4 linked regions of the Anolis sagrei genome follow. The protein of the gene in region 1 interacts with the protein of each later gene in a pairwise test. Links are inferred from orthologs where the notes say so. Each region holds a gene or a part of one and is shown in the gene's direction. Other genes may lie near its edges.

Evidence for each region.
Region 2: the proteins of keratin, type I cytoskeletal 13-like (region 1) and CCDC185 interact in a two-hybrid assay, tested with the Homo sapiens proteins (2 studies listed by BioGRID and IntAct). The two-hybrid records come from large-scale screens. The link is inferred for Anolis sagrei from reciprocal best matches to the Homo sapiens genes KRT15 and CCDC185.
Region 3: the proteins of keratin, type I cytoskeletal 13-like (region 1) and LMO4 interact in binary tests that used the Homo sapiens proteins (3 or more experiments, as listed by UniProt). The two-hybrid records come from large-scale screens. The link is inferred for Anolis sagrei from reciprocal best matches to the Homo sapiens genes KRT15 and LMO4.
Region 4: the proteins of keratin, type I cytoskeletal 13-like (region 1) and PSMA1 interact in binary tests that used the Homo sapiens proteins (3 or more experiments, as listed by UniProt). The two-hybrid records come from large-scale screens. The link is inferred for Anolis sagrei from reciprocal best matches to the Homo sapiens genes KRT15 and PSMA1.

Annotation. Positions count from the first base shown.
Region 1 is NC_090026.1:39,014,717-39,022,355, forward strand, and holds the start of keratin, type I cytoskeletal 13-like, read left to right. Parts: upstream 1-4,617; 5' UTR 4,618-4,695; coding exon 4,696-5,256; intron 5,257-7,639.
Region 2 is NC_090021.1:87,015,068-87,022,573, forward strand, and holds CCDC185 (coiled-coil domain-containing protein 185), read left to right. Parts: upstream 1-4,923; 5' UTR 4,924-4,930; coding exon 4,931-6,880; 3' UTR 6,881-6,991; downstream 6,992-7,506.
Region 3 is NC_090024.1:153,051,167-153,058,535, reverse strand, and holds the start of LMO4 (LIM domain transcription factor LMO4), read left to right. Parts: upstream 1-4,368; 5' UTR 4,369-4,989; intron 4,990-6,380; exon of another isoform or gene 6,381-6,403; intron 6,404-7,369. UniProt on the Homo sapiens protein: Transcription cofactor. Plays a role in establishing motor neuron identity, in concert with MNX1, acting, at least in part, to disrupt LDB1-LHX3 complexes thereby negatively modulating interneuron genes in motor neurons.
Region 4 is NC_090021.1:250,232,296-250,239,630, forward strand, and holds the start of PSMA1 (proteasome subunit alpha type-1), read left to right. Parts: upstream 1-4,323; 5' UTR 4,324-4,444; coding exon 4,445-4,447; intron 4,448-7,335. UniProt on the Homo sapiens protein: Component of the 20S core proteasome complex involved in the proteolytic degradation of most intracellular proteins. This complex plays numerous essential roles within the cell by associating with different regulatory particles.

The DNA of each region.
Region 1 (7,639 bases):
CAACTCCCATGAATCCTTAGCATTGAGCCATGACAGTTAAAGGGATGTCAAATTGCATTAATTCTATTTGGTAATCTCTCCTTCAAATATATTCTATTCAGATGTCATCAAATTAGCCTCCCCAAGAAGTAATCTCCTTTCCCTTAATTTGATCCACAGTAAAATGGGCAAAACAAATTAGCAATATTTTTTCCAAGGGTTGGATAACAATCAGTTCATTGAACAGGCCTGTTGGGAAAAAAATTCATAATTAGCAAGGGTTTGTCTAAACTTGCTGTTTGAAGTAACAAATCCTCCACGATATACAGATGTGGCAAGTTGTTAATGACTATCAATCATGTCCTTGGCATGTCTGCTCTAACTCCCTGGCTGAAAGCCATGCTGTGCTTGAGACATGTTTCTTTCCATGCTTTCCAACCAGAAATACATACAGCCTCTTGCTCTTTCAGAGGAAGAGATACACCTTTCTCTTCGATGCTGAAAGACTGATGTTGCCAACTGAAATTCTGAAGGTGTCGATCCAATAGGAGAGTCTGCATAGAGGTTTTGACTCCCAGAACAACAAAGTCCCACCTTTTCTTTCAGAAACTTTATCAGCCCATTTAAAAATTAATGCAAAAGGTAGCAAAACTCTTTACTCAGTTACACAACCTTTGGTTCCTTGGGGAGACCCCACATTTTTTTTTTCACTTTCTGTCCTTAATTGAAGTGACAGTGGAGACCCATTTTCATGCATGAGTCCTGATATGGATGCATCACTTCTAACCTGCATCAAAGAGGACATGCAGTATTCCCTCACTACTTCGTGATTCGCTTTTAGCGGACTCGCTGTTTTGGGTTTTTTTGAAAATATTAATTAAAAATATATAATATTTACATCCAGTGGTGGTCAGGGACTCTGGAAGTGCAGCATCTGAGGTGCGGTGGGGAAGGCCTGCCTTCCTGGCCTCCACAGACCAGGCTCCGGAGGCTCTGCCGGGGTCTGTGGAGGCCAGGGAGGGAGGCAGGCACCCTTGGGATGGACCAGGAGGTGGGTAAGGAAGTGCGGGTAACAAAATAATATATAAAATATATAATGTATAAATATTAAAATTAATATGGCATCCCTACTTCACGGATTTTCACTTATTGTGGGTGGTCCTAGAATGTAACTCCCGTGATAAGTGAGAGAACACTGTATATGCTTCAGTTAACACAGCTTCTGTAAAGCTACTTTTTATAAAGTCTTTTGGTGGGTGCCTTGCCTCCCCTCCCCCAGCCTCTCTCTCTTGTTTTCCGTTTTACCTGAAGTTTTGAGAGGATGATCAAGATCAGCTGGAGAAATTTTCTGGACAAAATTTGAGTATTGGATAATAGTACTATGTCTACTATAAACGATGTAATAAATTTAACATAGGAAAAAATTGGATTTTATTGTAGGTGATCCTGCTCTAGCTGTGTGTGCTTAGATACAGCAGCCAGTTTAAACAGCAGCTGTCTCCATAATCGCTTTCTGAGCAGCATTCAAAGCAAAACAGAAAAAAAAGGGCAAGGCAGACTGACATGTAGAAAAATGATAGAACTATATGTTTCACCACAGAATGGAAATCATTAGAAGAAAAGAGACTCTTGAAAGCAGGCATGTAGCTGGGGGGGGGGGCGACTTCAGCCCCCCCCCCCCCAAATTCTCATGGTGGTCTGCGAGAAGGCCTTACTGGTACATTATTTAAACTGTTATGTTTATTCATATCATGATTTGATCACCATGGAGTAATGATACAAAAGGTTTGCTAGGGTAGACCCTCTCACTCAGACTCAGCCCCCCCCCTCCCCCGAATCAAAATCCTGGCTACAGGCCTGCTTGAAAGGGAAAGAAAATCATTTCTGAATGATTTGGAAGAACTTTCAAGTGGTGTCTAGGAGATTCAAAATGTTTTTTGTTTACTTATGCAAGGCGCACCTAATTTGGTTGTTTCATTTCTTATGTGCATAATATTAGTTTTGGATAAAAGATTTGCTGAAATATGTTGAACCGATTTTTAGTTGTATAGGAACCCATCCCCATTCTTTCCATGTTATTTCTTCCTCTGGTTCCAACATTTCAGTTAAACAACTAAAGTCCAGGAACACATCTTCTACATTAGCCAAGATATGCTTGTATAGGTTAATTTAGCCTTGGATGCAAATAAAGAGTGACTTTCTACCTGGAAAAACATGTGGTGCAGAATTGGCACTTCTATAAGCATTCAAGTGTATGGTTATAGGTTGTACAAAAAGAACCCAGCAAAAACAAAGGTTTTTCTATGATCACAGCACTAATTTGTATGGTTCTGTGGACGTGTGGTTCTTATCTTTCTGTACCAATTTTGCATCAGGGAATTTTTGTGCTACAGGCATTTGTTTGTCTTCTCTATACTGTACAAGTGCAATTCTCATCTTGGAGGAAGGAGGGGGATGCAGTAGCACATTGAACATATTTGTGTTTATGAAAGGGAGCAGCCACTGCTTGATTTACCATTATGCTTTGGTGTGCTTGTTGACCAGTGAGACCCATGTTCCTCCCCCCCCCCCCCCCACAATTTTTTTTTACTATGGATTTTACTTATGTAGTGAAATTCTACATTTGAAGGTATTCTGTTTCAGAGCAATTCCAGACATAATGATAGAGTTGATAATATATTGGAGTGTGACATAAAGAAGGCAATGTAGGCCTACTGGACTTACCTCCTTTGGGGCCCAAGTAAGGGCCTCATAACTTAACTAGCCCAGGGCCTCATTTGTCCTAAATCTAGCACTGGGAGCAGCAGTCATGATGGGCAGCCCTCATGACACTGGAACAATGGATACTCTTGAGTTTTAGTCCAGGTTTGAAAGATGTTGTCTAAGATTTTGTGTGGGAACATCTGACTTTGTAAGATTCTGTAATGTCAGCATTCAGCCATTATGTTATTATACAGGGACATCAATAAGTGACCAATGTGTATCAGGACCAATTTATAATAGGACCAGTGTGCATTGAGATCAACATGCATTGGGACCAAAGTGCATCAGGCCAAGAAACTTTGGTCCTTTTTTGTGCTTTGGGACACCAGCTATATACATACTCTGTGTTAGAGGAGCCTAGCCCTTCTCCAAAATGTTGACCATATTTTTAAAATAAGTTTAGCATCTTGGATTGTGTATTGAAAGTTCTGACTAAAATCTAGAGTGGATTGACGTAAAATGGATTGACAGGGAGGAGAGCGCTTGACCTTCCAGGTGAAGCAAACCAAACCTTTACTTGACATTAGTGCCAGTCCAGCCTGTCTGCACCCTAGTTCCCAACTTGGGTGTGGTAGGAGTGTCTGTGAAACTGGATCATGGCAGCAATGGGAAGAAATGAAAGCAGGCAAGTGCTCTTCTATCACTTTAGTATCCATCATCTTCACCTTGATTGACAGATTACCAAGTCTCCAATGCACATAAGCTCCTTTGTGCAATCGCTCGGTGAATGAAAGAATTGGTATAGAGTAGGAGAGAGGCACGAAAAGAGAGTGAGTTAAAAGAGAGCTCTAACACTAGAAGAAATGTTGGGTGCATCCAGTGTCTCATAGTGCTCTCAAAAATAAATCTACTTTCCACTAGTATGAGGTCCATTTTCATCATAATGGTTTTCACTTCGAAATTTCACATAGCTTTTGCAGAACTTAGAAGTACAGCGTATATCTTGAAGAAGAAATACAAAACAGATGAAGGACCCATTCTACCTGGAAAATCTCTTACAAATGCCTAAATTAAAATGAAATAAACTGCATAGAACACAATGAATTCTTGCAGTTTTCAGTCACTAACAGAAGAATCAATGTGAGGTATTCATCTGAGGCTTATGAATTCTATATTCTAGTTCCCACTGAACAACAGAATTCACTGAATTTCTTTGGACAGGTCACTGTTTGTCAACTTCACCCACTTCACAGGTCTGTAATGGGGATAAAACATAGAAGAGGAGAGCCCTGCATGCTACCTTTGGCTTGTTGCCCCCAAAGTAAGATAGAAATATGCAGTAAATCAAATAAATGCAATAGTCTAAAAGAGATGTTACCAAACACCCCCACTTTTTATTTATAAATAAGTATGTGCATTTTCAAAATCCAGATGGAAATTGGAGGGGGGAGAGAGGTTGTTGAGAGAGAAATGTCACAGCAAATGAGCCACAAATTGGTTGCTAAAAGACAGAGAAGGTAGTATGGACATCTGGGAAATTAGGGGAATTTTTGCTAAAATAATTTCATTCTGCATGCAATAGTTTCCATTGGCATGGCTTCTCTATTAATGAAGTTTCAGTATGTATTTCCTTCACTTTGTATCAAATGTTTGAAAGAGAAAAAAAGATATGGATACAGAAAGAGAGATTGCGAATGGAGTAATCCAATCTCGGATGCCAATTGAGACAATTTTGAACATCTTTTGTTTCATTGAATTTAAAGAAAAATATGTATAGAAAGCACAGCCCCTCTTTTGGATGAGCTGTTACTTTTTTCCATGCAAGCACATGTTTTCAGCTTGCCTCACCCATGAGGGTGTGTTTTGGCAATATGTGTGCTTTCTGTTAGCATAAACACGCCCCACAATGACAACTATAAATGGAGCCCGGCAAAGTTTCAAAGCCTAGCTCTTGCATGCTCAGCCAAGCCAAGTAACAGTCTTGCATCTGAACCTTCACCTATTGTTCCCAGAATGTCTACCTACTATAGTTCCTCTGCTTCTTATGGTGGTGGTATGGGTTTTGGAGGTGGGGGTGGCTCCAGCCGTGTGTCCTCCGGCAGCCATGGTGGAGGTGGTGGCCGGATGTCCTCCTCTTCTGTTAGGTATGTCTCTTCTGGAGGAGGACATGGAGGTGGTTATGGAGGAAGCTTAGGAGGCGGGTATGGTTCTGGATTCATCTCTGGTGGAGGTGTTGGCTTGGCTTCAGGATATGGTGGAGGTGCTGGCGGAGGCTTTGGTGGAGGCTATGGTGGTGGCTTTGGTGGAGGTGCTGGTGGAGGCTATGGTGGTGGCTTTGGTAGTTGCTTTGACTATGGTGGTGGAGATGGAGTCCTCCTTACTGGAAATGAGAAGGTGACAATGCAGAATCTCAATGACCGCTTGGCCAATTACCTGGATAAGGTGCGGGCTCTGGAAGAAGCAAACACTGACCTGGAGGTCAAGATCCGAGACTGGCACCAGAAGCAGGCCCCTAGTAGTCCAGCTAAGGACTACAGCCATTATTACAAGATTATTGAGGATCTCCGTGACAAGGTAGGACCATCCAGATGAAAATGTGTAAAGCATGGAGGGGGATTTCATCTTCCAACTTACATCTGTAGCATGATTTTAAATGATCCATGTAATAGAGCATGATATATTGTACAATGTGATGTTTCTCTGGGGATAAACAGATCTAATATAACTCCAATTTCTGCTTAAAAATCAAGCCAAGCAAAAAGGAAACCTTTGTCTTTCTGTTAAAAAGAAAGAAAATGAAATGAAAAAGCAACCTGATGGTACTAAGAAATAACACAACCCAATTTCATGAAATGTTACAAATGCAACCAAATCTAATAAGGTTATTCATTTTGTGATGCAGAAAAAATGAACAAATGGGAAACCAAAGAAGCATGCTGCTTCTTTGATTGCAACAAAACTCTAAAATATGTTGGATTCCCAAAAGTTCAACTGAATAAGATGAGATAACTGCAGTTATCAGCTGTGTAAATAGTTTTTAAGATGTACATTGCAGGTATTCGAGTCTGTGTGATGTAGTGGCTTGATTGTTGGACTACAAGTCTAGGATCCAAGCTTCAAATCCCTGCATGGCCATGGAAACCCAACTTGGGAAAGTCACACTTTCTCAGCCTCAGAAGAAGGCAATGGCAACCTTCAGCTGAAAAAAATAATTGGTAAAAATAGTCCCGTAATAGTCTTGCTCTGCGTCACACAACTTGAAAGTATACAACAACAAAGCATGAACTGCTTTTAAAACCAGTGGATGGGAAATGTTTGAAGCTCTTCTTCATGGTTTTGTGAAACACATTTGTGGAAGATCAAAATGCATTTGAAGGGGGGATAAAAGGGTGGCAGTCCAAAAGGAATCTCCCCCTGCCTCAAAGTCCTAGATAATTGTGCAAATATAGTGTCGTTATGCTTGGCAGAGAAACCTTCTCATACTTCTGAAAGCTTTAGGTACTTAATTTCTGCTTTTGGGGGTAAAGCTAAACTAACAAGAGCAGAACCTGTAAAAGTACATGCAAGTAATTTCTGTGAATCTCTGTATTCTATGATTTATCCATCTTCTTAGATGATATGTCAGAAAGCATGAGCCTATACTTTACCTTGAATAAAGCCTCCAGCCAGGAAATGTTTAGCTTCTGTTCCAGACTGGGCGGGGCTGGTTGTGGTTAGTCCACAATAAGGAAAGGCATTATATACAGGTTCAGAGGTACTCCGATGCTACTTTGCAACATCAAAGGCATTTTGAAATATTTCCAGATATGATTTCTACATCATAACTTGATAGTTCTATAGTAGATGAATAATCACTCACGTGATCAAAAACAACAGTGTCTAGGAATTTCCTTTGTTGTTGAGGGTAAGGCAAAAAGAAAAATCTGCCATCTTTCAAACATGCAAGTCAGTCATTGGGTCGTGAGTTTTTTGATCTCTTGAGAAGCTGTCCAAAACCAAACCAGACCACCTCTCGATCAATATAGTCTGCTCCAATTGGCATCAGGTCTGTGGTTTATCTGGAGAGGGGATGAAACCAGAAACTCACGTCTGTGCAACATGTGCTCTACCATCGAACTCCTTACTGCTCATTAAGCCCTTTATGAGCAATAAACTAATGCATTATTGTAGTGTTTTATACCTAATTTCATTATTATTGGTAATAAACTAAGATCCAACCCATGATTATACTAATTTGGTTCAGCAGACCACCTTTAAGTGGTTCTCAGATGCTGATTCAAACTTGTCAAACCATTATTTACAGATATTGATAGCTGACTGATGCTTTGGTTTAATATTCCCTCTTATGTCCAAGGAAGTTTGGGTTCTGTTCTTTGTTTTTGTTTATCTTAAACTTCATTAAGATCCATACAACTCACTTTGGTATAAAAAGAGGGCTCCTTGCTATTTTTCGTCCATATGTTCTCATTTATATTCATGAACATTTCTGAAAAATAAAATTATGGAATTGCAAGAGACCACATGGACCATTTAGTCCTCCTGCCGCACAGGAATACACAATCAAATCACTCCTGAAAAATGGCCATTCTGCCTCTTCTCAAGGCTAGATCATGCCAAGCTCCCTGAATTGTTCCTCAAATGACATGGCTTCCAGACCTTTTGTCATTTTGTTTTCCCTCTTCTGCATAAGTTTGAACTTGGATTCAAAACTCGACAAAGTAGATTTTTTTTATTTCCAGATTAAAAAGTAGGATCCGGGGTAGATACAGTTTAGGGTGCAACACATCTTCCAAAAAGAGCAATAGTACATGTGTCTACACTGTACTGCTGCTAGAGGAATGAAAGTATACATTAAATGCCTTTAAAGTATACACTAAATGTCAGGACATTGATCTGATTGATTTCATATGGCACATTGAACTTTTATTCAGGATAGCATAGAACTGGATTGCTGTAA
Region 2 (7,506 bases), on another chromosome or scaffold:
ATGGAGATGAACACCAACCCCCAAAGTCAGACATAACTGGACTTAATGTCAGGGGACAACTTTTACCTTTACCTTACAGACATAATGATAGAGTTGATAGCGGGGTTGCCAGGCGCTGAAGGTGAAAATAAAGTACTCTGGAAAGGAAAGGCCTCATCCCCGCCCCCTTTCACCCAAGGTCCTCTATGGCCTAGACACCTCTTGTGGCAAAGACATCCAGATAGTACCTGCACCCAGCCTCCGGAGAAGGTCTAGAAGGGGGAGTGGGGAGAGGTCAGATGGGCTACAGAAGATAGAGAGACCCCTCGCCACCCAGAGTGGAGCCCATGTCACCTGGGTGCCCAGAAGGATGCCACCATTGGAGGGAGGGGAAGAGGCTGGCCAGGCTTGGACTCACTCCCTACCGGAAGGAAGCGCATGCTAGGCTCACTGCATACTCAGATCTGGTGCATGCAATCAGTGGAAATAATTATAATGATGAATGTTAAACTTCCATTCTATGTCTAACTTTTGTTTATTTTAATATGTATTTTATGGAAATATGTTTTAATATGTGTATTTTATGGAGTGTTTTTTAAATTATTTTGTGTTTTGATTAGGTGTTGTAATAATGTTGTAACCCACCTCAAGCCCTGAGAAAAGGCGGGTAAAAAATAAAATTATTATTATTATTATTATTATTATTATTTGATGTCCTGGACCAGGGTGCAATGGGACGTGGGACATTTTATCTAAATAAGGGACTGTCCCTTATAATCCAGGACACCTGGCAATGCTGGTTGATACTCTATCAATGGGAGTGTCTGCTGGACCTACCTCCTTCGGGGTGCCACAAAGGGGCCTCATAACTACTAATACAGGCCCTCATTTGTCCTAAATCCAGCACTGCTCATTTGAGTCGTCATTTTATAAAAAAGATACAATTTTATTATTATCCAATTGTATATAATGGAAATGGAGCAACCACAGGAGTCCTGGAACCAAGCACCAGCAGATACCAAGGAACCACTGTACTTCCATTTATCCTGTTTGTTGTAACTTTTTATAACTGTTTGTACTATTGAGAGGAGGAAACACATTAGAGGGATGAAACTGAAGTTCACAGTTCAATCTTTTAACCTTCTTGTTGTACAGTTAATTCAACTAACAGAATATATACTACAATATTCTTTATATATGCATCACCGCATGAAATAATCCATATGCTAGTGACTGGGCTAAGTGTTTGATTGTACATTACAGGGGCTAGTAATTACATCTTGTATGTGGCATTAGAAAAATCAGATTACATATGATTATCCATCCAGATTTACCAGCATTCGGCTGTAGATTCTCTGTTCCAGTGCCAAAGCACTGCACAGAAACATCCAGGGAAGAGGCAAAGGTTTCACTGACGTGATTAGTCTTCCTAGCAGGCTGAGTTCTTCCTCTGAGAAATGGAGCACTGACACTATTAACCAAGCTGGACTCCAAATGCTTTTAAAGGATTTTTAAAAGTCCAAATCTCTTGATCCTCAGATGCTGTAAAAGCTAAGGAATTAAATACTTGTGAAATGGCTGTGTGACTATGTGAGAGCTAGTCCTAGACATTTTGCTGCCTGATGTAGAGCAGAAATTGGCACTCCTACCTGCCAAATGAAACTGTATAGTACCCTAAACCAGCCATTATTTTGGTGCCTGAGGCAGAAATTCGCAATCAACTCTTTCCATCTCCTGGGCGATAAAACTATAATAACAAGAAATTAAACAGCTAACAATTCAGTGCCCTTTCATGACACCAAAACCTGCTACCAAAGATGCCTGAAGCAAGAGTGAATCACAAAATGTATATTCTCCCCCCACCCCACCCCACCCCCATCCCAATGCAGTGGTCTTTAAACCACAAGTAGATCTTTACAGCCTAGGGAAAATACTGATGGTATTACCATTTAAAATATATATTATTTCTCTTTTGAGAAAGAGAGAGAGATTTAGGAGTGAAAGAGGAAAAGAGTGACTAGATACAAATGAACATTTTTTAAAAGTTTAGTATTGTACCAAGAACCTTTCCCCCAGTATTGTATGAATTTTGAAGCCTTGGGCCTCCAAGTATGCATTCTGAACATATGCAGGAGGATTTACATGCATTTACATATGTACACACAGAGAGGCACTGGTTAAAATCTTGGCAGTTTGAAACTGCCAGCCGCAGCAAGAGAGTTCCAAAAAGGACTACACTAAGGGGCACTGCGACACTACACAAGTATAGTATTTACATATATACACACAGAAGTCTTAACAGGATCACATAAACCTTAAGGTTCTACTTTTACTGCCATGGTTCCATGGAATATTGGGATTTGCAGTTCATTGTGTGCCTTAAAATTATTTTCAACTTCATGTGGCCCTAAGGCAGACTATTGGAAGAGCAATAAATCACAGAGTTTCCTTGGTAAGATTTGTTAAGGAAAAAGTTGCCTTCATCTGAGACTGCATGACTTACCCAAGGCCATCATCTAACAGAGTTCACGGCCAAGTGGGGAGTTGAACCCTGCTCTCCAGAGTGCTCTCCAGAGTCTACTTCAATGCTCAAATCACTACACCAGTCTGGAGTTTCCTCCTGTTTGGTAAAGTCCAGCTTTACTTCCCCATTTCTCAATTTGTTGGTGTTAAAAGTTATTTTGCAAGGGAAACATTTTGAATGCCACAAACTGCTGGTCTGTGAAGCAAAGCACAGACCAATGCTACATAGTTGCCTCAGCATTCCAAGACTCAGGAATAGTTCAATGAGATTCCTCCTGTAGTAGACCAGATGCCAGATTAATGTAGTTTCTGGTTGCTTGAGAGTTACTATTACAAATGGGCTTAACTAGCACTATACACTAAGCCTGGGTAACAACGAAAAAAATTGTTTCTAAAATCGATTTGTATTTGGGGGGTTTTTTTGTTTCGATATTTAAAATAATTACAAAATTTTCCTTTTAAAAAGTTCGATATTTACGAAATTTCGTAAATGGTAAAAAAATTAACGAATCGATTTCCGAAACAATAACGAATCGATTTGTTAATGGCAGACGCGACCGCGAAATACGCTAAAAAACCTCCAAAACCTTCTGAAGCTTCCCTCTCCCTCTGTTGTTGACTGTTGGTGTGATTTTATAATTTTTTTTCACTAATTAAACCATAAAACTGGCCCAGTCATGCGGAAATAATAACGAAACGACCTCAAAACAATAACGAAATGAATACAATATCGAAATACGAAGCATTTACAAAACGTTTTTGAAAATTCTTTTTTTTAATAATTGCTCCAGAATGGTTCGTTATCGTTTTGTAATTGAAAAAATTAACGAATTATTAACGAATTACGAATTAACGAAACGAAACCGCCCAGCCCTACTATACACCATGCTATACCATACCACAAACTTTTTACAAACTTTATTACTATGTTATTATTTTATTTGATGTTAGTTTTGTTTATATGTACTTTTGCTCTATTGTAATTTGTATGGGCATGGCCTCATGTTAGCCGCCCCAAATCTCTTTGGAGAGATGGTGGCAGGGTATAAATAGTTTATTGTTGTTGTTATTATTATTATTCTATTTTTTGCTGGTTGTGTGAGAGTTCCTGTTAACTAAGAGTCTACTGTAGTTTGTTACAGGAGTCTTTAATATTTATTGACTGTTATAGCAGTGTTTTGCATTTTTTTAAAAAAAGTCCAACTTCCCTCTTTCTCAAATTGCTGCTAACCTTCTAAGGGAAAAAGTGGGGAATGGCACAGGCTGCTGGCCTGTGAAAGCAAAACACAGGTTGTGTGGCATTTTGCTAAACATCCCCAACTGAGCAAGACCCAGGAATGCTCCCAGAGCTGGGAAAAGACCCATCCAATCCAACTCCATTGTGCCATGCAATCCTGCACGACTTTGGCATGGGCAAACTTTGGTCCTCCAGGTGTTTTGGACTTCAACTCCCAAAATTCCTAATAGCTGGCTGACTATGGGGCCTTCCACACAACCTTATATTTCAGAATATCAAGGCAGAAAATTCCACAATATCTGCTTTGAACTTATTTGAGTCCAGCTAGTCCTAGACATTTTACGGTATGATGTAGAGTTGCAATTGTCACTCCCACCTCCCAAATGAAACTGTATAATACCCAAAGGGCCCTTCCGCATAGCCCTATATCCCAGGATATCAAGGTAGGAAATCCCACATTATCTGAGTATGGACTCAGATAACCCAGTTCAAAGCAGATATTGTGGGATTTTCTGCCTTGATATTCTGGGATACAGGGATATGTAGAAAGACCCTCTGAGAGAGCTAACCCTAAACATTTTGCAGCCTGGTGTAGAGCAACAATTTACACTTCCAGCTCCCAAATGAAACTTCATAGTACCCTAAACCTGCCATTATTGTAGTGCCTGAGACAGAAATTCCCACCATCATCTCATTCCATGGGCGATAAAAACTATAACAATAAATTAAGCAGGTAACAATCCAGTGCCCTTTCATGACATCAAAACCCTGCTACCAAAGATGCCTGAAGCAAGAGGGAGCCACAAAATGTGTGTGTATTGTGGCTTTCATGGCCAGAATCATTGGGTTGGTGTAAGTTTTCCGGGCTGTATGTATATTCTTTTCCCTACCCCATCCTAATGCAGCTGTTAGGAACTGTGGGAGTTGAAGTGAAGTTTGCCCACGCCTGCTTGAGGATCTCCTCTATTTGACTCTTTCGAGTTCACGTTGGGACTGAAGGGGAGAGCTGGTCACGTGGGAGGAAGGGGTGAGGAAGTCCCTCTCTGACCAGCCCAGCCCCGCCCGGCTCGGGCTGGAGGGCGGGGCGCGCGGTCTCCTTGGCGACGCTTGTGACGCGCGCGCGCTGCCTATGTGGCGCCGGGGCGCGCGTGGCGGGGGGCGGGGCCGGGGGGGCGCGAGGGCACTCGGGCCATGCGGCGGCAGCAGCAGCGACGGCGCCGCGCGCGTGGCGGGTGGGCGGCGTGCGTGGGCGGCGAGGAGGAGGCGGGCAACCAGACCAGCAGCCGCCGCGCCGCGGGCAAGAAGAAGCCGCCCGCCCCGTCGTGCTGCAGCCTGTCCGGCGCGGAAAGCCCGCGGGAGATGGCGAGGCGCAAGAGCCCCGGGCGCTTCTCGCCGGCGTGCGGCTTCCTGGAGGCCTACAGCTCGGAGCCCGAGGTGGCGGGCGGCGAGGGCCGGAGGGGCCGCCTGGCCGGTCGGCCGGGAAAGAGCCGCGCCTGCTCCTCCTCGCTCCGCCGGCCCAAGCCCGCCTCGGCGCGCCGCCTCTCGGCCTGGCAGCCCGGGGGAGAGGGCTGCGCCACGCCCGGCACGGCCACCTCTTGCACCACCCTCTACGGCGGGGACTGGCCCGCCGGCCCGCGCGCCGAGGAGCCCTGGGCCAGCCCCGTGCCCCGCCCGCTCGACTACGCCGCCGCCGACTTCCCCACCGACGCCAGCAAGCCGGCCTCGCGCTGCCCCTCCTCCTACTCCTCCCTGGGCCCGCCCCCGAAGCCCGAGGCCAAAGAGCTCAGCCGACGGGACTGGCGGGAGCTCTGCGGGAGCAGCCCCAGCCTCGTGGACCTCATGCACTCCTTGCGGAAGTACGAGGAGGAAGAGGAGGAGGAAGCTGCTGCTGCTGCTGCAGCCTATGACCCCATCGGTGCCACCCCACACCTCCGCCACCCCCAGAAGCAGCCCAGGAAAGCCCACGACCACCAGATCCACCTCCATGACTTGGTGGACAAGCGCTACGAGGACCTGCTCCCCGAAAGGGACAAGAAGATCGCTGCCCTGATGCTGGCCCGGCACCAGGAGGAGGAGGAGATGAAGGACAGGCAGCTGCGGGTTTCCGACGCCTGGGAGAACCTGAGGCGGAAGGAGAAGAAGCACAAGGCCCGGCTGGACAAGGAGCGCCGGTACCATGTGGCCGACAGCCTGGAGCAGTGGCAGCGGGACCGCGACCAGAGGCTCTCCAAGCTCCGGCTGGAGGAACAGCAGCTCTTAGCCTCCAGGGAGAGGGACATGATGCTCCGCGACAAGAAGTGGAAGAAGCTGGCCAAAGAACAGGAGTCTCGGCGCAGAGAGAAATGCGAAAGTGCCCGGCTTCAAGCCGAGTACCGGAAACGTTGCCAGGAGAAGCAACTCTGGGAGAAAAAGCTAAGCGAGAGGAGTGCTCGGGAGCAGAGCTCTCATGCCTACAAGGAGAAGATGCTGCAGGCCCTGGAGAAGAGGCTGATGAAGGAAATGGAAAGGAAGAGGCGGAAAACAGATATGAATGAATACAGGCGGGCCCAGCACATGCACAAGGACCAAATGGATGACCGGCTGAAAGCGGATGAGCTCTACAAGAGGCTCTGTATCGAGCAGAAGCTCCAGCGGTCTCAGGAGATCCTGGAGCAGCTGCTGGAAGAGAGGAACAGGGAACTGAAGGAAAGGTCTTTCAAAGAGGAGGAGCAAGGCATGATCGCCAAGGTGCGAGCCAAAGAGACGGAGGAGGAGAAGAGACGGCGGAAGGAGATGTTGCTGCAGATTGCCGAGATGAAGATCCAGCAGGCCAGAGAGATCATGTCCAAAAATATTGATGACCGAGCACAGCATGTAAAAGAAATGAACTGCCTGAAGGAAAGGAACCACCATTGCCGCAAACAGAAGCTCGATTACGATGAAAAATGTCACCTACGGGAGTTGCAAGAAGCACTACGACGGAAGGATCAGAAAAGCAATCAGATCCTAAGGCACAAAGACACGGCTATTGAAGAATCGAGGAAAATTGCCAAAGCATCGTATGACCTTAGGGAAAAAGTGAGAGATCTGATCAACCATAATTCATTCGATCAGATGGCATTAGATGCCCATCGCAATGCAAGCGTCCTTAGAGGTCTCTAGTGAAGTGTAACGAAACATCCCAGAATGTCTTGTGCCCCTCAAAACATGGTTGTAATGTGTTCATTTTGTAGAATTATGCACTGCTGTACACTAAAGTGGTTTCAGCCTTAATTCATGTTTGACTCATAAGTCTTTGGTTGGATTGTGATTTAAAGAAGCTGTATACCACATCTCACTTAGCTTTATATATTGTATCTCATATATTACTTGGATTTGAACGTAAGTCACTACAGCTTTATACAATTAATTGTAGCCATGACATAATGGGTGATACCTTTTAATTTAATATTTCTGTAACAATCCTTTTAAGTGTGTTTTTACAATGGCAACCTGAAGTTCTTCATAAATTCTTGATTTCACATATATTTAATGACATTAGCATTTCATATCCAAGTATGCATCCATCACTCATAATCAAGAACATAGTGAAAGTTGCTCAATATTTTTATATTTCAATAAATATTTCTATAGTTCAATAAATATTTTTATACCCAAAGAAGCAAGTCTCCAGTGCACATAGCTAGCCCACTTATTTCTGTGAATCATATCATGGTGTCCATTTGGGGTGGCAAAGTGCCCCCTCAGATAATCTTGGGCTGAAATTCCTAAAATTTAAACACACTCAA
Region 3 (7,369 bases), on another chromosome or scaffold:
AACATTTTTTTTTACATACATGAATCTTTGGATTCAAAAGTCCGAGTTCCTCCATGATCAAAGAAGGCTTGCAAATACTTATCTGTTCACCTTGGACAGGTAAGCAATCTGTCTAGACAACCAGACAGGAAAGCCGATTCTTTGGGGCCAGAAATGACTGAGAAAAGTGCCTGTAAATGAGTGATTTGGTAATTTTTCTCAGCAGACTTGAAGGCTAAATGATCGCTTGTATTATAAACATAAAGGATATTAGTCCAGTAGTCTGTATACGTACAATGAGACTTGGAGAGGGAGATCCAAAGTTATGTTCACCCTGCTTAACCAATTAACCTGTTTATGTTATTTATTAACATGAATATTTTTCTTATTATCTAGCATTATGTTTACGTTTAATGTATTAAAATTTACATTAAAATATTCGATTTATTTTTAAAATGTTAGATTATATTATTGTCTGGCATGGAAATGCTGTATCAGCCTGCTCAAATTTTAAGATAAGCGGGGAGGGCTTTCTCTTGGTCCCACCCTGTGACAAGGACTAAAAGTGAATCTACACTGCACAATTAATGCCATTTGACACCACTTTAACTGCCATGGCTCAATTCTATGGAACCCTGAGTACTGTAATTTTGTGAGGTACCAGCACAGAGATGGCTAAACACGACAACTCCCATGATTTCACAGCATTGAACCATAGCAGTTACAGTGGTGTCAAACTTGATTATTTCTAGTGTAGATTTACTCAAAGAAGATCTTCTTTATGGCTTCTCCTAGGCATTCCCTCCTACAAGAATCTTGTTTGGTTCTTCTTCCACCTGCAGGCAAAGACCTTTTTGTTTAGGCCTCTGGCTGCAAATTTGCTGTTGTAGAAAGATCTCTTAATGGCATGTGTTGTTCTTCCATATTCATGAGTCATGTTTTAAAGTAGTGCCTTTTAAAACATATTATTTTGAAATTTTGCACCATACATTGTTTTATCTATACTCCGTTTGTAAATATACTGAAAGCCACCTTGAGTTCCATATTGGAAGAAAGGTGGGATAGAAATTACAGTAATTCATGTACTTTAGATATATTATTTTCAAAAAGTGGCTTACAAACTACTCATCATTTCTAAGTTGGGATGCTCCAAGTTTTTGCACTAATATGAAAAACCATGCTGTACTGATTTGTTGTATATCTGTAGGAAATATATATATATCTGCTGCCCTAGATAATAGGATTGGAGCAATAGGTTCAAAGAACAAGAAAGGAGATTCTACCTGAACATTAGGAAAAACTTTCAGACCGTGAGAGCTGTTCAATTGTGGAACTCTCTGCCTCTGTGTGTGACGGAGGGTCTTTCTTTGAACGCTTTTAAACAGAAGTTGGGTGGCCATCTATTTGGAGTGCTTGATTGTGCTTTTTCTGCAGGGCAAGGGCTTGGGCTGGATGGCCCATGTGGTTTCTTCCAACTCTATGATTCTATGAAAAATATTGACTAGGAAAGTCCTACGCTTGTTGGAGCAGACTACAAAACCTGTTGTGTCTGAAAGCACCTTTCTTGGTGTGATAAAGTACAAGGAGGTACAAAGGAGGACCTCTTGGGCCCCATCTGCATTGCTATTTGCAAATGGTATTACATGATCAGTGTAAACCAGGCATGGGCAAACTTCGACCCTCCAGATGTTTTGGACTTCAACTCCCACAATTCCTAACATTGTGAGAGTTGAAGTCCAAAACACCTGGAGGGCTGAAGTTTGCCCATGCCTGGTGTAGACTCATATAACACTGTTAAACTGCGTTAGATGAGTCAACACTGATCATATAATGCCATTTCAAACCTCCTGTCATCTGTTGTGTAGTCCACTGGGTGGCTCTGGCCTAGCTAATACACAGGGCACTTTTGCAGACAGGTGCTGCACACCTCGAAAAGCATATGAAACACAGACTCCAGATAAAGCTATCCCTGGTCTGAAAAGCCTGGGATCAGAGGTTTAGTTCCCACTTCCCTCCGCCCCCGATTTTTGAAATACTTCTCTTTGCACATCCGTTCACAATTGGAGGTGAGACCGGAGTCTAAACATGGTGTTCATTTATGTCTCATATATATCTTTTAAGGTCTGAAGGCAATTTTATACACAGTATTTCAAATAATTTAGTGCATGAAACTACGTGTGAGTATAGTGACCCATCAGAAAGCAAAGGCATCCCTACCTCCGCCACCCAAGTGGATGACTTTTTAATATTTCTGGATGTTGGAATCCCAAATAAGGGATGCTCAATGTACATGGCTGGAGTTCTGTTTGATAAGAGAAGAGCATTCTTCCCTCTGAGCTTAGGAAGCATATATTTATGTAGAAATTGTTGGAGCCTTCAAGGAATCATTGAGTGTGTGTGTGTCAATTGCAAAATAAGATGCATGAATCTGATTGGTCAGGCAATGCCTGAGCTGAGCCTGGGACTTTTGGTTACCGTTACATTTTTGTTCAGCAGAGCTATGCAGGTGTCCAGCAGAGAGAGAAGAGTAAAGCACCCAGAGAGATAGCTTAGAGTGTACTCTTGCTTAATGAGCTGCTGTAGGAATTTCTCCACATGGACAAAGACCATTTTAAATCTCTCATAAAAGGACATTATGTGAGTTGATGCAACTGAACACATTGTAAATATGTTGTTCTGATTGACAAAGAGTAAACTACTTTTTTTTTCGCTGTTCATCTGCGTGGCTTATTTTCTTTCTCTGGCAAGGCAGTGTGTGAGCTGATCAAATGTGAACTACACGTGGTTTATTTTACATTACGCCACAGAAATGACAACTAAATAAAATGGGATTTTATTGCAGAGGAAGCATCCCTATAAACAGTGATAGAAGCTTGTCCCATCAACCCTAGTCAGTACAGGCAGTCCCTGAGTTACAAGTATCCGACTTACAAACGGCTCATAGTTAAGAACAAGGATGAGACAACAAGAAATGGTTATATTTTATGGTATGCTCTATATTGTTGCCTGTTGGAAGCCATCCTGAGTCCTTCTTCGGAGGTTGAGAAGGACGGGGTATTAATGTTTTAAATAAATAATAAATAAGTGAAAGAAATCTACCTCTAGGATGGGAAATTCATTCCTGAAAGAGTTATCATTGGAAAAGGTGTCTCCACTGAAGCTGTATTACGAATTCTTGCTTCCGCAAGCCAAATTTTTTGATAGGGCTGTGTGGAAGGGCCTTTGGGACATCTACAAGAAAGGACAAGAAACTACAAGAAAGGAGATTCCATCTGAACATTAGGAAGAGCTTCCTGACTGTGAGGGCTGTTCAGAAGTGGAACTCTCTGCCCCAGAGTGTGGTAGAAGCTCCTTCTTTGGAGGCTTTTAAACAGAGGCTGGATGGTGCTTTGTCAGAAGTGCTTCTTGGACTGGATGGCCCATGAGGTCTCTTCCAACTCTTTGATCTGCACAGTGGAATTCATGCAGTTTGGCCCTGCTTTAACTGCCAAGGCTCAATGCTATCCATTTCTGGGAGTTATAGTTTGTTGATGCTCCTGGGGAGGAGAATCATAGAGTTGGAAGAGACCTCATGGGCCATCCAGTCAAACCCTCGGCCAAGAAGCAGGAAAATTGCATTCAAAGCACCCCCAACAGATGGCCATCCAGCCTCTGTTTCAAAGCTTCCAAAGAAGGAGCCTCCACCACACTCCGGGGCAGAGAGTTCCACAGTCAGGAAGTTCTTCCTAATATTCAGATGGAATCTCCTCTCTTGTAGTCTGAAGCCATTGTTGTGCGTCCTAGTCTCCAGGGAAGCAGAAAACAAGCTTGCTCCCTCCTCCCTATGACTTCCTCTCACGCATTTATACATGGCTATCATGTCTCCTCTCAGCCTTCTCGTTTTCAGGCTAAACATACCCAGCTCTTTCAGCCGCTCCTCGTAGGGCTTGTTCTCGAGACCCTTGGTCATTTTAGTTGCCCTCATCTGAACACATTTCAGCTTCTCAACATCTCCCTTCAATTTTGGTGGCCAGAATTGGACACAGTATTCCAGATGTGGTCTAACCAAGGCAGAATAGAGGGGTAGCATGACTTCCCTAGATGCAGATACTAGACTCCTATTGATGCAGGCCAAAATCCCACTGGCTTTAGAGAAGGCTCTAAAAAAAACAGAGGAATGAGGCAGAGTAGTTAAAGCGGTGTGGAAGCGCGTTAAGAGTAGAGAGAAGCACCCTTCTCTCTATTCGATTCCTCCTCCTCCCCCCTCCTGCTTCGGCCTTTTCCCCGCCCCCTGGTTCCTTCGCCCTGCTCGCGATTGGGCGGTTTTATTATTCCGCCTGAACAAGCGGCGCGGGGATTGGGCGAGGCGCTGTGACGCGGGGGGCCGAGCTGCGGACTTGTTGGGATTTTGCTCTGTCAGTAACACATGGGCCAGAAGAGCGCAGAGGCGGAGGAGGGAGAGGAGCAGCAGAAGCCGAGCAAGCAGAGCCAGAGCCAGAGCCAGAGCGGGGCCTCCCTGCGCGCGTCCCGCCGACCACAGCGACGCCACCGCGGCCACAACTCCTCCTCTTCCCTCCACTTCGAGAGCAGGAAGGAGCGCCGACCCAGCCTGGGAGCCGGAGCTGTTCCGCTTCCCGCCCGCTGAACCAACCCGCCGCTTTCGGGACTTTTAAACACCGAGGAGCCCATTTTGGAAGAGGAAGAGGAAGAGGGAGGACCCGGGCTCGGAGGAGGAGCAGCAGCAGCAGCAGCGGGCCAAAACTTAGCCGCCGAGGAAGGGAAGGAAGGAGGGAAGGAAGCAGGAAGGAAGGACGGACTCACTCGCTTGCTTGCTGACTCCGGAGGCGAGAGACGCGAGAGAAGGGGCGCTGCTTCTCCCCCTCTCGCCCGCGCCGTGCGGGCTCGCTCGCTGCCTTGCTCCGTCAACAACCTCCCCCTTTTCCCGCCTCTCCGCTTTCTGGCCACGAAGAGCCTCCCCGCCTTTCCTCCACCACGTTATCCTCGGCCTCTTGCACCATAGAGGGGAAACAGGTACGGCGGCTTCGGCGGGCCCTTGCCCTTCCTTTCCCTTGCCCTTGCCCTCCTTCCTTCCTCCCTTCGTCTCCCCGCATTTGGAAGCCAAACAAGCCCGTCAACTCCCCCCCCCCTCCTTTGCACTTCTTTCTTCGCAGCTAAACACTCCTTGGGAAACAGTGGCAAGAGAAAGAAATCTCAAGTGAGGAGGAGGAGGAGGAGGCATTTTCTTTCCTCCCTCCCTCTCTCTCTCTCCCCCCGGATCGAGCTGATTTCAAAACAAGCCGTGAATTAAAGCATCCCATTATTATTATTTTCAATTTTTGGAGTTGCAAGCTGTGTCTCTATGAATAGTCTCTGTCAAAGGGCTCTCTCCTTCTCTATTTCTCCCCTCCCTCTATTTCTCTCCTTTCTCTCCCTCTATTTCTCTTCTTTCTCTCTCTTTCTCCTCTCCCCCTCCCTCTTTTTTCTCCCCCTCTCTCCTTCTCTTTCCCCTCTTTCTCCTCTCTCTCCCCCCTTCCTCTCTTCTTTCTCTTCCTCTTTTTTCTCTTCCTCTCCCCCTCTCTTCTCTCTCTCTCCCTTCTCTCCCTCTTTCTCCTTTCTCTCCCTTCTTTTTCTTTCTCTTCTCTCTCCCTCTCTCCCCCCTTTCTACCCTCTCTCTTCTTTCTCTCCCTCCCTTTCTCCTTTCCCTCTCCCGCTCTTTATTCTCTATCACTCTCCCTTCTTTCTCTTCTCTCTCCCTCTTTTTCTCCTCTCCTTCTCTCTCTCCCTTGCTTTCTCCTCTCCGGTCTCTCTCTTCTTTCTCTCCCCCTCTTCTTCTCTTTCTCCCCTCTCCCTCCCTTCTTTCTCTTCTCTCTCTCTCTCTCCCCCTTTCTAAACTCTCTCACTTCTTTCTCCCCCCCTCTCCTTTCCCTCTCCAGCTCTTTATTCTCTCTCACTCTCCCTTCTTTTTCTTCTCTCTCCCTCTTTCTCCCCTCTCCTTTCTCTTCCTATCTTGCTCTTTCTTCTCTCTCGCTCTCCCTTCTTTCTCCTCCCCAGTCTTTCTCTCCCCCTCTCTTTCTTCTTCTCTTTCTCCCCCTCTCTCTCCCTTCCTTCTTTCCCTCTCTTTCTCCCTCCCTTCCTCCCCCTCTCTTTTTCTCCCTCTGTGTGTGTTTCGCCTCTCCTTTTTGTTTCATTGCCTCTGTTTCCAGGACCCGAAATGGCTGTGTAATTACCAGAGCGAGGCTAGTTCAGTTAAAAGCTTTTCCTCCTCTCTGTCTCTCTCTTTCTCTCCCTGTGTGTGTGTATTTTTTCTCTTCCTTCTTTCCTGCCACCTCCCCAACTCTGCCTGAAACTTGATCAGGGCCCCCATCCTTCCTTCGTGAGCGAGGGAAGGAGTCACTTTCTGGTCAGTCCTCTTGATTCATCTCTTTTAGATCTAATCAGCATTAAGGTATTGCTTGTCCTTAAGAGCTTTGGCTTAATGGGGTTACTGGGTGCTTCTGTCAGGGTAACGTTTCCCCTTTAGGTACAATATTTACTTTTTCTTTTCCCACATAGACCCTGGTGGACAAGGCACAAGTGGGTTTGCATTTGAGGGGGACACTTTTGGGGTTCTTTACAGGAGGTGTGGAAATAGGATTTGTTTCTAATCAGAAAGTCAGAAAAAAAGGCCAGGTTCGTATTGCTGGAAATGGTAACAAAAGGCCATTTCGTGAGTTTAAATGCATCAGAAATCAATTTACATAAAGGTATATGATGCATTCAGAGAAATGCAATGCTAATGGCTTTTAGAGTGGTTCTCTTTCCCCCAAGTCTCGGGGTTTTTAGTTACAGTCTTAATTGGTGCAGTTCGCAGGCTGGTTTATTGTGTGGTCAACTGAACCATATGATCAGGAGTTATTTGGAAGGAAAACCTGCTTCTCTCGCTCTCTCTCTCTTAAAAAAGGCCTATTTTAAGGAAACTGCTGTTGTAACTAAGTTGAAAAAGTTTGCTATTCTGTTTCCTCCTATGTGTTGTTATAGCTGAATGCCTTAAAGTGAGCAGGGACCTTTAATGAAAGGAGAAACACTGCTAAATTGACAGTAAATAACTTGATATTTTTGATATCTGAATGCAGGCATGGGCAAACTTTGGCTTTCCAGGAGTTTTGGACTACAACTCCCACAATTCCTGGCCTCAGGCCCCTTCCTTTTCTCCCTCAGCCGCTTAAGCGGCTGAGGGGGAAAAGGAAAGGGCCTGAGGCCAGGAATTGTGGGAGTTGTAGTCCAAAACACCCGGAGGGCTGAAGTTTGCCCATGCCTGGTATAAAGGAATGAAGAAACCCAAGTCTGTTGGACTCCTCCGGGTGCATTAATCAGTTTCAAGCAAGCTTTATGAATTGTTTCCATTATTAATCTCCCCAGTGCCCTGCTTTTA
Region 4 (7,335 bases), on another chromosome or scaffold:
AAGTAATACAGTAATTAGATAGGGTAGGTAAAGGAAGAAGGAAGGAAAGTAAGGAAATAAAATCTATTATTCTATTATTCTGATTTTGCATAATGTGCTGTATTTTCTATTTGCTTTTCTCCTTTTAATGGTTTGTGTTTTTAACTGGTTTTACTTTTATTAATAGCTTAATTACATGCTTAGGTTTTGTAAACTCTGAATTTTTAGTCATGCTTAACACTTGTAAGCTGCCTTGAGTCCTGAATTGGGATAAAAAATGTCCAGACATAAATATCTCTCATATATATATGAGTCTGTTTTTCAAAGAACAAGGGGAAACTTGCAAGTAGTAAAAAACCCAAAAAACCAAGGCCCCCAGCACAAGACGTTTACTGTAAATAAAGATAAATTGTGCAAAGGAGATGAAGAGAAAAAGGGAAAAGGTAATGAAGAGAAATTTTGTAATGATCAACAAAGATAATGGGATTGTCAACATCACAAACACAGAACTGAAATGCAAATTCTTGTCAATAAATCACTTCATACAGCATGCAGGTAGTTTCCCTTTTACTATGTTTTTGACAATTTTACAGTGTCCATAGTCCACTCTATTATGTTCATTTACGGTTCTTCCTTGCAATGAGCACAGGTTAAGACATTGTCGCTGTTGCATATCATCATACAGAGAGGAGATAAGAAAGGGAGATTGCACAGAAATACGGTCATGTTATAAGTCTGTGATGTCACTACAGGGTACAGTGAGGTGACACCAAAACAATTGTCTATAAAATTACAGCAGAAATGTATTATTTTTAAATACTTTTAAATCATACAGAAACATTTTTGTAAGGTTACATGTCTTACAGGGATAAAACTGATCTGGTCAAAGCTGTCATTGTTACCCAATTGCCATCATGCCTTGAATCAAATGGTTTTGTCTGCATGTACTTTTGTTTTAATTGTGGCTACTTTTTACACTTTTTGTGATGTTTTCTGATATTTTAGCTGAAATATTCTGGTCTGGTCAAGGAAGGCCCGTGGGGTGGCATTATGGGTTATTGCACTGAGTGATACCAGCCCTAGGGGACATCTGCACTGTAGAACTAACATGTTCTACACAACACTTAAACTTCCCATGCCTCAATGGTATGGGTTCATGGGGGTGGGTGTTTTAAAAGGTCTCTATAATCTTCTCTATGCCCCCTGGTGAGGCAGCAGGTTAAACTGCTGAGCAACTGAACTTGCTGAGTGGAAGGTTGGCGGTTCGTTATCCAGGGAGCGGGGTGAGCTCCTGCTGTTAGCCCCAGCTTCTGCTGACCTAGCAGTTAAAAAACACGCAAATGTGAGATCAATAGGTAACGCTTCTGCTGGAAGGTAATGCTACCCCATGCAGTCATGCTGGCCACATGACCTCGGAGGTGTCTACAGACAACAGCAGCTCTTCGGCTTAGAAATGGAGATGAGCACCAACCCCCAGAGTCGGACACAGCTAGACTTAATGTCAGGGAAAACCTTTACCTTTACCTTTAGTGTTGATAAAATAAATATTTATTTAAAATCAGCAAGGATAATTGTTTAGGAGTCAAGAAAATTTTAGAAAAATATATAAATCTTCACTTACATCCTTCACTGAGAGCCTTCCTAAGTTCAGTGGTCAATTCATTTCATCTGATTGACACCACAATGTGCCATAATTAAATACAAGGCTCTTGTAAGTACAGTCTTCCCCTCACTGCCTTGGAAGTGGAACAGTCCATACATAGGGCCCTTCCAGACAGGCCCTATATCCCAGGATCTGATCCCAGGTTTTCTGTTTATCCCAGGGTATCTGGCAGTGTAGACCCATAGGTAATAGTATGATAGTTGGGTCCGGAAGCTCTGAGCATTACAGAGATGCCGCATAGCTCCTTCAGGAGCGCTGTTTGCACAAGAGAGACTTAGCTAATGTAAGCCAGGCTGGAGACAGATAATACAGAAGGAATGTAAGAGTTCTTTAATGATGAAATTCTAACCCTCACTGTAAACCTAAGCCTAACCCCTTACCCAAACCCTTACCCTAACCCAAACCCTACTCTAACCATTATCCTTACCCTTACACTAACCCAAACTCTAAACCTCGCCCTAACCCTAAACTTTGCCCTAACCCTTACCCTGAGCATCCCGTTTTCTATCCTTCCTTCGCTCTCCCCCCTTATTCAAAGCCGCCTTTGCGGCATTTCCGTAACGCTCGGAGCTTCCGGACCCAGCTATCATACTATCACTGACCCATATATTCCAGTTTAAAGCAGAAAACCTGAACTCAGTTCCTGGGATATATGGTCTGTCTGGAAGGGCCCATAGAAGATGATCTCACTGATAAATTTATTCTGGGATATTTTGACACCTGCCCATGCTTCCCTGCTATTAACCAGCTAGATAATAGGATGATAGCTGGGTCCAGAAGCTCTGAGCATTGCTCCTTTGGGAGCGCTGTTTGCACAACGCAGAACGGAACACAGATATTATAGAAGGCATGTAAGAGTTCTTTAATGGTAAAACCCTAACCCCTAACCCAAACCGTAATCCTAACACTTATCCTAACCCTAATTCTAACCCTTTGTTGTTGTTGTTCATTCGTTCAGTCTTTTCCGACTCTTCGTGACCTCATGGACCTGCCCACGCCAGAGCTCCCTGTTGGCCGTCACCACCCCCAGCTCCTTCAAGGTCAGTCCAGTCACTTCAAGGATACCATCCATCCATCTTGCCCTTGGTCGGTCCCTCTTCCTTTTTCCTTCCATTTTCCCCAGCATAATTGTCTTCTCCAAGCTTTCCTGTCTCCTCATGATGTGGCCAAAATACTCCATCTTGGCCTCCAATATCCTTCCCTCCAGTGAGCAGTCGGGCTTTATTTCCTGAAGTATGGGCTGGTTGGATCTTCTTGCGGTCCAAGGAACTCTCAGAACTTTCCTCCAACACCACAGTTCGAAAGCATCTATCTTCCTTCACTCAGCCTTCCCTATGGTCCAGCTCTCACATCCGTAGGTGACTACGGGGAATACCATTGCTTTTACTATTTTTTTTCGAAAGCATCTATCTTCCTTCACTCAGCCTTCCCTATGGTCCAGCTCTCACATCTGTAGGTGACTACGGGGAATACCATTGCTTTTACTATGCAGATCTTTGTTACCAGTGTGATGTCTCTACTCTTCACTATTTTATTGAGATTGGTCATTGCTCTCTTCCCAAGAAGTGTCTCCTGATTTCCTGGCTGCAGTCTGCGTCTGCAGTAATCTTTTCATCTAGAAATACAAAGTCTGTCACTGCCTCCAAGTTTTTCCCCTCTATTTGCCAGTTATCAATCAGTCTGGTTGCCATAATCTCTGTTTTTTAGATGTTTAGCTGCAACCCAGCTTTTGCACTTTCTTCTTTCACCTTGACTCCTCAGCTTCTCCTCGCTTTCGACCATCAAAGTGGTATCATCTGCATATTACCTTAAACCTTATCCTAACCCTCCCCTCCTTTCTATCCTTCCACCAAATGCAACTACGAAGTATATTCCTGCCCTCAATGTGCCGCTCTCCCCTTCCCTTATTCACAACCCCCGTTGAGGAATGTGCGTAACACTCGGAGCTTCTGCACCCAGCTATCATACTTCCATCACCAGCCGCGATTTAGTGTGCATCCGGGCGTCCCCTGGACAACGTCCTTGCAGACGGCCAATTCTCTCACACAAGAAGCGACTTGCAGTTTCTCAAGTCACTCCAGACACGAAAAAAAACATGCGCATGCGCCGTTTGAGGCGCTGCACTCTAGCACGCCTCCTGTGAGGAAGAGGGGAGCAAAGGTCTATTGCAGGGGTCCTCAAACTAAGGCCCGAGGGCTGGATACGGCCCTCCAAGGTCATTTACCTGGCCCTCGCTCAGGGTCAACCTAAGTCTGAAATGACTTGAAAAGCACACAACAACAATAACAATCTTATCTCATCAGCCAATAGCAGGCCCACACTTCCTATTGAAATACTAATAAGTTTATATTTGTTAAGATTGTTCTTCATTTTAATTATTGTATTGTTTTTAAATGTTTTTTGCACTTCACATAAGATATGTGCAGTGTGCATAAGAATTCATTCATGCTTTTTTCAAATTATACTCTGGCCCTCCAACAATTTGAGGGACTGTGACCTGGCCCTCTGTTTAAAAAGTTTGAGGACCCCTGGTCTATCGGCCTGGCCTCCTAGACATTCAGAAAGGAGCGCTCCAAGTGGCGCATGCGCACTGGGTCGCTGCTGAGCCGCCGCTGATTGCTGAAGAGGGAGAGTTGTCGTCCGCGAGAGGCGCGCTCTCATCTGAGATTAGGAGATCGACTGTTCTTCCTGGGCCGGGCCGGAAGGAAGTGCCCAAGCCCAAATCGAGCGCTTGCCGAGTTCTTCATCCCATTTCTGGAAAGACCTCCTGGCCGGTTTGCTGCTCGCCCGGGTCCCGTCGCCATGGTGAGAGGAGAGACGGAGGGGGCGTTCGGTCGGGGGTTGTAGCTGCGAGGCGGAAACGAGTCCGGTTTGCAGGAGTGCGGGGAGGCCGCCTTCCCCGCTTTAAGGCCCGGTCGGAGTGAGTCAGCACAGCCCGGGGATGGCGGGCGCCTCGCGGCCCGGGGAGAGGCGCCCCAATGGCTCCCCTCCGAACTCCTTTTCAGGGACCCTGACTGACTTTCCCGGGAAAGGGGCATGGAGGTGTTCTGTGCCTGCTTTGGAGTCATTTCCAACTCATGCTGGTCTCAAGGAGAATGAATGCAGTTCGGCGCCACTTTCACTGCCATGGCTGGGTGGGTGGGTGCTGTGGGATCCTGGGAATTGTAGTTTCAAAAAGAGATTTAGCCTTCTCTGCCAAATAGTGCTGGTGCCTCATCAAACTACAACTTTCAAGATGCCATAGCGTTGAACCCTGGCAATTCAGCTGGTGTCAAACTAAATTGATTTTACTGTGCACTCTAAGGCAACCCTGTTATGGGAGTTTCTGGGGCTGAAAGAGTGGCTTGCAATGGTCACCCAGTGAATTCAACCCCTGCCTCTCAAAGCTTTTCTAGGGTAGCAGTTCTCAGTTTGTGGGTCCGCAGGTGTTTTGGCCTACAACTCCCAGAAATCCCAGTCAGTTTACCAGCTGTTAGGATTTATAGGAGTAAAAGGGCAAAACACCCGGGGGCCCACAGCTTGAGAACCACTGTTCTAGAGCTTTCAAGGTCCCCCTTCTCTAGTCCCTTTGGGATACTCATTCTGAGTTCCCCTGTTACTCAGTATTTTATTTCCAATATCTGTTGGAAATAGCATTGTCTGATTTTCTGAATACAGGTTGAGTGTGTCTTATTTGGGAATCCCAAATCTGCTAAAATCTAAAATTTTCCACCTCGGTGATTGAGATAGTGACACCTTTGCTTTCTGATAGTTCAGTCTGCCCAAACTTTGCTTCATGTACACACACCAAAAATGCAAAACATTGGGTTTCTGTAAGTTTTCCAGCTAGTATGGCCAAGTTCCAGAAGCATTCTCTCCTGACATTTTGCCCACATCTATAGCAGGCATCCTCAGAGATCATGAGGTCTGTTGGAAACTAGGTAAGTAGAGTTTACATATCTGTGGAATGTCAGGGTGGAAGAAAGAACTCTTGTCTGCTTGAAGCAAGTGTGAATGTTACAATTGGCCAACTTGATTAGCATTGTATGGCCTTGCAGACACAGCAGAAAATAGTTCTTTCTCCCATCCTGGACACTTCACAGATATATAAACTTCACTTACTTAGTTTCCAACAAACCTCACAACCCCTGAGGATGCCTGCCATAGATGTGGGCAAAATGTCAGGAGAGAATGCTTCTGGAACATGTCCATACAGCCCGGAAAACACAGCAACCCAATGATTCTGGCCATGAAAGCCTTCAATAATACATTTTTACAAAACACTGTTTATAAAATTATTTTCAGCCAATGTGTATAAAAGGTTTGTATGAAAAATAAAATGAATGTCTTGGATGGACATAGGTATGTCATTATGTGTGTATATGCAAATACAGACATGCCAAAATCCAAAATTCTGATGGTCCCAAGCACATTAGATAAGGGATACGCAACCTGTATCAATAAGAGATGGTTGATATGTAGGGTTGGCAATCAAGAAGTAGCTGTTAACAAGCTAGCATGCTGCTGAAATGCCAACAAGATGTATTGATTTCAGTAATCAGAGCCTTATCTTTATCTGTAAAATCAGTAAATTGGCAGCAGTCATAAATTACATAATGGGTTCACTTCTCTGTGTGTGGAGCCAACACCCCCAAATACAGAATTTTTTGGCATCTCATACAGTCTAAGGAAAAAACTTTACAACACCCAATATGCAGCATCCTATAATAATGGACATCAGCCTGTCCTATAAGGGAGAGGATTTATGGTTATCAAATAAAGGACATTCCTTATAATATATAACCCATGGCAACACTAGTCAGGACACAGATGTGTGCCAAATAAGAAAGAGACCCTAACATTCAGTTAATCAAAGTAATCCCTGCCCGGTTTTGTTTATTTTCAGAACAACGCAAGAGTTCATTACTTACTCCGATTTGTTACTGGGTTGAAACTGGTTTTTTGCTGTTTGTTCTTGTCATACACTGGTTTTTCCCATCACCTCAATTTCCCCATCTCATTCAATGATCCTCCATTATTTGTAAAAGGCCCACGTCCTTCTTTGTTACCACATGATTCAGCAGTTTGTTCTACATTGTATCCAGTGTTCTCCAAATAATACGGTTTCTTCCAGAGTTTCAAATATCTATAGATGGATTAGTCATTTTCAGACACCTTGTAGTGCTACCACAAAATGTAATTGTTTCTGAACAGCGTTGGAGAGTGATATCTCACATAATTTCTGGCCTCTCAAAGAACATCCCAGACACCAAATTGCTGTAATCTAAAACAAGAGCAGGAGCATTTCATAGTGACTTGTTATTTAGAAGAGAATTAGAATTTTTCCTAACAAGTATTAGCAATAATATAATTTTCAACCAACATAGTTAGAACAAGAAGGTTAATGTTCTTCATATTGATAAGCTTTCTTTTTGAAGGTCTCATGTTAGGTGTTGCTCAATATCTGATATTTCCAGTAGGCAACTCACTCCTGTTGAAAATGAAAGCGAAACCTTCTTAATTTGAAAAAGTAATGGACCTTTTTTGATTCCTATGTTGAGGATTGTGTTTCTGATCACGAATTATTTATGAAATGTCCTCTCAAGATTATCCATTGTTCTTGCATTTTTAAATGGTTTCCTTTGATCTCCACTCTTGGTTTATACAGCACATCTTCTAGGAAACTTACACAATTACAAATTGCATGTTTGCGA